2 linked regions of the Pelodiscus sinensis genome follow. The protein of the gene in region 2 interacts with the protein of the main gene of each other region in a pairwise test. Links are inferred from orthologs where the notes say so. Each region holds a gene or a part of one and is shown on either strand. Other genes may lie near its edges.

Region 1 (3,916 bases), on a different chromosome or scaffold from region 2:
GCAGCAGTAACAGAAAAACATAAACAGGTTCATGTTTTTGCAACGCAGGATGACAGGGCAATGTTTAAATATGTTATGTTGAACCTTATTTTACGTAGAAATTGTTACCTTGAAATTCTGTGCTTATTAACAACTGGAAATAAATAAACAGCACAACTATTTAATTATACTGTGGTATGGTGAAGTGCAAGTTTATTATACGTGAAATCCTACAGATAGGCATTTAAAAGCCGGATCCTGCAACTTTTACTCAAGCAAAATCCAACTGGTTTAGCTTTAATAAAAAAAGCAGGATCAGGCCCAAATATTTTATTATAAAAAAAGAGCTTCACTTTTATTGATCTGAAACCACTTGATAGATGGTAGGTTGACACTATAAGCCCATGTTCAGAAAAGCAGTTTAAATTCCATCCCAATTCAGCCCCCCCTTAGCTTGAGTGCTGTCCAGAATAAGGGACAGGATCTTGAATTAGGACCATAATGACTAGATTAATGTTTGAGAGAAATATCTAGATTGTTTATGAATAAACATTTATGGTACAGATTTTCTTGCAGAAAATCCATACAAAGTGGGTCTTGAGAAGGATATCTCAGTGAGGACCTCCCCTCCCTAGAAAACACTACAGACCCTATCCCTAAAATTATTCCCCCACATGTTCAAGTCTGGGACCATCCCTGCTATATTTGGATCCACGAGAGTTGGTCTGGACCTGAATTATTATTAAGAAGAATATTATTTTGCATTATAATTAACACATTTGTTAAACTATTTCAACTGTCTGAGTTATGTATTTTACATTACTCAAAGGTACCAAAGCCAATATTTTAAAAAATAAATGCCTAAAGTTAGGTTCCTGAGTCTATATTTAAGACATCTAAATAAATGTCTGGGATTTTTAAAAATGAAGAACTCTCAGCTGCTCCCACTGAATTCAAAGACAAATTTTGGCCTTGGAGGTTTAATGTGTCAGATACCTTTTGCCAACCTTTAAACAAATACAAGGGTCTAACTTTTAAAATCTTATTGGTCTCTTATAATTTAACATGTTCACTGAATCAAAATGGTAAGGATACATAGACTGTAAACCTCTGTTCTTTTTCTTCCAACCCCCTCTCTCTCTCTCTTTTTCCCTCTTTCTCTTTACCCATTTCTAGTGTCATGAGATCAGGTGACTCTATAAAATCTGATTATAATGTATTGCCAAATCCCTTACTTGGTGATGTATATAAACACCCCAGCCTAACGCAGAAATTCTGTAGTGAAGAAAAGCACTGGCCTCATCCCAGAATCAGCAACTACAGGCACCACCAATTTCTCTTTGAAGACAATATCTTGCAGTTAGAAGAACATGGCAAGTCTAAACTGGAGTTATGAAGGTGACAATGGTAAGAATAACTTTCCCTAATAGCAAACTAATTTAACTGACCAAGATGGGCTCTTTCTTTTCTTTTTTGATAAAAGGAGACATAAATCAGTGATCAGACCATATAGAGTGATACATTTTTTTATATTTAAAGAGGACTAATCTACAACTTAGACAGGGCTACTATAAGATTGGTGCATAACTCACTGGATAACCATTCCGAGAGTAGTTATTAATGGTTCTCAGTCATGCTAGAAGGGCATAACAAGTGAAGTTCTGCAGGGGTCAGTTTTGGGACTGGTTCTGTTCAGTATCTTCATCAATGCTTTAGATATTGGCATAGAGAGTACGCTTATTACATTTGTAGATGATACCAAGCAGGGAGGGGTTGCAAGTGCTTTAGAGGATAGGGTCATAATTCAAAATGATCTGGACAAACTGGAAAAATGGTCTGAGGCAAATAAGATGAAGTTTAATACGGAGATATGCAAAGTACTCCACTAATGAAGGAACAATCAGTTTTGCATATATAAAATGGGAAGTGACTGTCTAGGAAGGAGTACTGCAGAAAGGGATCTAGACGTCATAGTGGATCACGAGCTAAATATGACACTGTGGCAAAAAGCAAACATGATTCTGGGATGCATCAACAGGAGTGTTGTGAGCAAGACATGAGAAGTCATTCTTCCGCTCTACTCTGGGCTGTTTAGGCCTCATTTGGAGTATGGTGTCCAGTTCCGGGCACCACATTTCAAGAAAGATGTGGAGAAATTGGAGAAGGTCCGGAGATGAGCAACAAAAATTATTAAAGATCTAGAAAACATGAGCTATGAGGGAAGGCTGAAAGAATTCAGTTTGTTTAGTTTAGAAAGAGAATACTGATAGGGGACTTGATAGCAGTTTTCAAGTATCTAAAAGGGTGTTACAAGGAGGAGGGAGAAAATTGTTCTCTGTGGCCTCTGATGATAGGACAAGAAGCAATGGGCTTAAACTGCAGCAAGGGAGGTTTAGCTTGAAAATTTGGAAAAACTTCCTAACTGTCAGGGTGGTTAAATACTAGAATAAATTCCCTAGAGAGGTTGTGGAATCTCCAAGACTGGAGATATTTAAGAGCATGTTAGATAGTCATCTGTCAGCAATGATCTAGATGGTGCTTGGTCCTGCCCTGAGGGCAGGGACCGGACTTGATAACCTCTTGAGGTCCCTTCCAGTTCTAGTATTCCATGAGTCTATGATTATTTTTACAACTATTCAAGAAGAAACCACCACAATTTGGGAATTATATATTAAAGCTAAAGTAGCAATTAAGAACTAAATGAGATTATTTGTGTCTGTCTAGGACCTGACCAGTGGCACAAATTATACCCAGTTGCCAATGGAAACCTTCAGTCTCCTATTGACATTAAAACCAAGAATGTAAAAAAAGATCCCTCTCTGGGGCATCTCCATGTCACTTGGAATTTGAGCACCTGCAAAGAGATTGTCAACATTGGACACTCCTTCCATGTGAACTTTGAGGACAAGGATAACCGATCAGGTTAGTGAACAGGGTTCTTTTGTTTGTTTTTACACATTCTTTTTTCTTACCCTTGCCTAGAAACAAAAGCAAATGGACGTTCAGCTCCATAAATACCCATTCAAATGTGCTCCCAGATTTAGAATACTAATGCAGTGATATAACTTTACACTCCATGGAGGATCTGAAATACATCATTTTAAAATTAGGATTTGTTGGCAAGGGCTCTATTATTATAAGCAAATTTAAAATTGGCCAGATTGATCAGATTTTTCCAGGTAGTAAAATATCCACAGCCATGGCTGTGTTCTGGTGAGTTTCCTATGGACAAGACTCTACTCAGATTTGAATTACAGAGTTAGCCTTGCTTTATAAAGGGAAAATAAGGTACTATTTGACTATTCTAATTTGCAAATACTAATACAATTCCCTGAAAGAATTTTCAGGCAAGAAATTCTTAGTGTGATGGTTAAGCAACTGCAGATTTCTATCTGCCAGTAGGACTGAACACACCTTTGTATTTTGGTAATGTACATATCATTGACGGTGACCTACAACATCACTAACAAGAACATTTTAGCTTAGCTTTAAAATATGGGTAAAACTAATATGTTAGACTCAGAGTATCTTATGTGCATTACTAGTTTTTCTTCTTGCACAGAAAGGCAATTAAGATCTATAGTGGCAGAGTCTCTTCTGCCCGCAGAAGGAATGGATTGGGTGATCTAATAGGTTGTTTCCATCTCTCACTCTTGGAATACTAATCCTGTATCTAGTGAACTGCTGCTACTGTATGTTTCCCTGGTTTTTGTTTCCTTGCTTAAGGAATTAATAGTCTCTGTTCATGTATGGTTTACATAAATGTTTGGGTTGAATTTGACAGGCATGCTGTTTTACTATAACTAAGCCATAATATGTACATATCACAGTTTTTATTTCTAAAGGCTTGCATTAAATCATGAACAATCTTATTTTTAATTTTCAAATAAAAATTACATGTTACGGTAGATTAATAATAGAGCTAATATTCTGATTG
Region 2 (3,916 bases):
AGCAAGACTGATTTAAGTTTCCTGCACAAACTAACCCTGAGGCATGTTTTCTAACCCTTTAATCACTTTCATGGCTCTTCTCTGAACCGTCTCTGTTTCATCAACATCACTCTTGACTTAAGATACTAACGCCTTTGCTCAGATCATCCAGAGCTGAAAGACACCTCTCCTTCCCCTCGGGGTGATTATTCAGGGCAAGATTAAGGAGGATCTCACACAACCTAATTAGCTGAGAAAGCACAGAACAAAGACTGCATGGGACAGGGTCTCCTAATCAGCAACAGATGGGGAAGCACAGGATTTAAACTATAGCTAGACTACAGCCTATGTCAGCAAAACTTACGTTGCTCAGGGATGTGAACAGTCCACCTCTCAAAGTGCTGTATATAAATTACGTCGACATATGCACCCGTGTGCACAGTGTTATACTGGTGGGAGAGCGTCTTCTGCCAACACAGCTTCTGTCGCTTGCGGAGGGTTGGTTTTTTTTTAAATGCCCACAGAAGAACTCTTTCCCAATGATATAGCACATCTTTAGCACATATACTTCAGCTGTATCAGTGCAGCTATGCTGCTGCAGCGCTGCGCCCATGGCATACCGAAGTCTGGACGGTTTACCCATAACCCGATATCAGCAAGAGGCCAGACTGCAGAGGAATGGATTCACTATACCCTCTTTCTAGGAACAGTCCATGCAACCTGGAAACCTGCCTTCCACCATGGCCAATACTTTATATTTTTAGAGGCAGGTGAACTTCCCCCAATCTAACCAATGCTGAACTTAAGGGGTTGAAATCCAAATCCTTCCTGACCCTGCATTCAGATGACACCCTGAAGCATACAGTAGGGATGTAAAATCCTTTTTAATTGGTTAACCCGTTAAACCTAATGTTTAACCGGTTAACCAATTAAAAGGAGCCCAAGTGGCCTCCCCACTGGTGACATCTGGGCTGGAGTCCCCCCCTCATCACCACTGACAGGGACTGCTCTGGCCCAGCTGGTGCACCTCCCAGCTGTGGTGGGCCCCACAAAGCTGGAGCAGCCTGCCCACGGGGAGCAGGGAGTTGCTCCAGTGCCCACTGGTTAACCAGAGCTGGTAAGGCTCACCTGTTACTGGTTATCCATTCACATCCCTAGCACACAGTCCCCATTAACTCTCATTTGAGGCTTTACAAAACTCATAACATGATCCAACCCAACTGTTAGAATTCAGACACAGAACTCAACTCTGGCTCCCAGCACCTGCTAACTCCTCAGGTCCTCCTCATACACATTTTTCTCTCTTCTAAATTCTACCTTATCTTTGGGTTTTATACTTCTCTCCAAGTCGCCCTGTCACTGTTTTCACGTCATCTTTCATGCTCACAAATGTAACATGCAGAGCAAACGCTGGGGGGTGTGTGTGGGTGTGTGTCTGGTATCCCCTTGTTACAAATCACTACCGAAGACAGGCTCCTGCACAACCTGGTTTCTTGATCTTATCCAACCTCATGAGGGCTCCAATCAATCCACCAGAAAGTTATCAGCCATTCAACACGACATCTGTAGTACACTTTGCTATCTGTTCAGCCCAGTCCAACACGATGTCCAACTACCCCTGGGCTGTGCAGTCCTCCAGGAGGCAGTGGTCCTCACATTCTACTCCCCTCACCCCTCTCAATCCATGGTGTAAGACATGATGGTGAGGAGGATCTCACTTACCTCATGCTGTAGGCACCAGCGCCCAGCTCCTGGCCAATGCCTGAGAGGCTGGCATCAAAATCTTGCACCAGCCCCGATTCGATCACCTCGTCCGCCAGCGGCAGCTTCAGAGCCCACGCCATCCTCACCCAACGGTTCAGGACTCAGGCCACGGGGCAAACGTACAACCCCTCCAGAAATCAATGGACGCAGAGTAACCTCCACAGGCCCTCACTGCAGCATCACCCCTTTCAGGAGATACACCCCTCAGGTATCCCAATACAGGGGAAAATCCCTCCAGGAGATGCTGCCCCACCACGGACCCACAATTTCGCTCTCTCAGGGGGCTCCAACTCACATAGTCACCCCCACCCAAGGAATACTATCTCCCTGGGACCTCCACAGCCACGAGCACGCTTTTCAGGGGCCGCTCCCTCCCCGCACCCCAGGGAGCCAGAGTCTGTGTTCCCAGGGGAATCCAACCTCTTGGAACTCAGCACCCAGTGTCACGCCTCCTCCAGGGAAAGACTAGTCCTCAGAGATGAGGACCCCCTACCCAATCACCCCCTCTCAGGGGACAACCTCCAGGACCCCCCCTCAGACTCACCCCCTCCCAGAGAGCAGCACCCCCCTGGGAACCGCCCTCAGAGAGCAGCACCCCTTCGGGACCCCCCCTCAGAGTCCCCCCTCCCAGAGAGCAGCACCCCCTTGGGACCCCCCCTCAGTTACCCCCTCCCAGAGAGCAGCACCCCCTGGGGACCCCCCCTCAGAGTCCCCCCTCCCAGAGAGCAGCACCCCCTGGGGACCCCCCCCTCAGAGTCACCCCCTCCCAGAGAGCAGCACCCCCCTGTGGACCCCCCCTCAGAGTCCCCCCTCCCAGAGAGCAGCACCCCCTGGGGACCCCCCCCTCAGAGTCCCCCCTCCCAGAGAGCAGCACCCCCTGGGGACCCCCCCCTCAGAGTCCCCCCTCCCAGAGAGCAGCACCCCCTGGGGACCCCCCCTCAGAGTCACCCCCTCCCAGAGAGCAGCACCCCCTGGGGACCCCCCCCTCAGAGTCCCCCCTCCCAGAGAGCAGCTCCCCCAGGGCCCCTCCCCCCTCAGCGGCGCCCAGGCTGCCCGGCCCCGCGCGCGACTCGCAACCCCGCCACCTCCGCTCCCGGCCCCGCAATATGGAGGCGGCGGCAGCGCCGCAGCCCCCAGCTCCAGCCCAGCCGGGCGCAAGCCCCGCCCCCTCCCTGCCTCGCGGCCAATCGCGGCGCCCAGGCCCCTTCGGACGCACAACGGGCTCCAGCCAATCACGACTCACCGGAGGGCCCGTTGCCTCGGCACCGCCGCGGTGATAGGCTAAGCACTCTGGACAGGGCGGGGCTAGCGGGGTTACGGCGCAAAAGCCCCCCCCCCCCCCGCTCTGCTCAGCGTGGTACGGCCCGGCTCCGGCTCCCTCTGCGTTCCTGGGACATGGCTTAGGCCGGCCCCTTGGAGTGCCACGGGTTCGAGACCGGCCGCCGGCTCATAAGTGCAATGAATTGGGAGGGGTCTCAGTCCGGAGCACGGGAGCTGGGTTAGGACAGACGGCGGTGCAAACCTTGGGGGACAGGGAGAATAGGTGCGCTACAGGTTGGGAGGGAGGCAGCGTTGTCCTTAGGTGTCACACACAGCTGTGTACGGTGCCATGAAATTTGGGGCTGGTGCCCCCACGCAGCTGCATATTCTGTGTATGGAGGGGCTGGTGGCAACAGGGAGCCCATGAAAAAGTGAGGATGCTGCAGCACTTCCCCCTTCCTGCCCCTCCCACGGCCCTAAGTGCAGCCCCCCACCCTGCTCCTCTACCTAGGGCAGCATAAACTGTAAGGATGGCCACGGAGGGGGGGAGGTAACGTAGGCAAAGGATTGCATTGCCTGCTCCAAACATAAGACTAAGGGGTCTTAGCATGTTCAGAGGGCTGGGAGCAGTAACCTGGGCTTGGCTCCAGAATGGGGGAGGTGGGACTTGCCTTCCCCTAGCTGGAGGTTCACCCACTGTCCATGAGGATGGCCCTGGGTGGAGAGTCAGTGGCAGGGAGAAAATTGTCTATCAATAATATAATAGTGCTGGTGCTAATGAGGCTAACGAGTGGGCTGGAAGCGTCCTGTACTTTGCTTTTGATGTAAATGAGGTGTTAAACGCACAGAAAGCTGGCTTTATAATGTGACACCCACTTAATGTGTGAATGTAATAAAACCAAAGGTGCATAGA

The links.
Region 1: the proteins of TFCP2 (region 2) and CA1 interact in binary tests that used the Homo sapiens proteins (3 or more experiments, as listed by UniProt). The two-hybrid records come from large-scale screens. The link is inferred for Pelodiscus sinensis from reciprocal best matches to the Homo sapiens genes TFCP2 and CA1.

Annotation. Positions count from the first base shown.
Region 1 is NC_134712.1:46,162,503-46,166,418, forward strand, and holds the start of CA1 (carbonic anhydrase 1), read left to right. Parts: upstream 1-1,227; 5' UTR 1,228-1,349; coding exon 1,350-1,386; intron 1,387-2,703; coding exon 2,704-2,901; intron 2,902-3,916. UniProt on the Homo sapiens protein: Catalyzes the reversible hydration of carbon dioxide. Can hydrate cyanamide to urea.
Region 2 is NC_134729.1:2,094,229-2,098,144, reverse strand, and holds the start of TFCP2 (alpha-globin transcription factor CP2), read right to left. Parts: upstream 2,292-3,916; 5' UTR 1,824-2,291; coding exon 1,702-1,823; intron 1-1,701.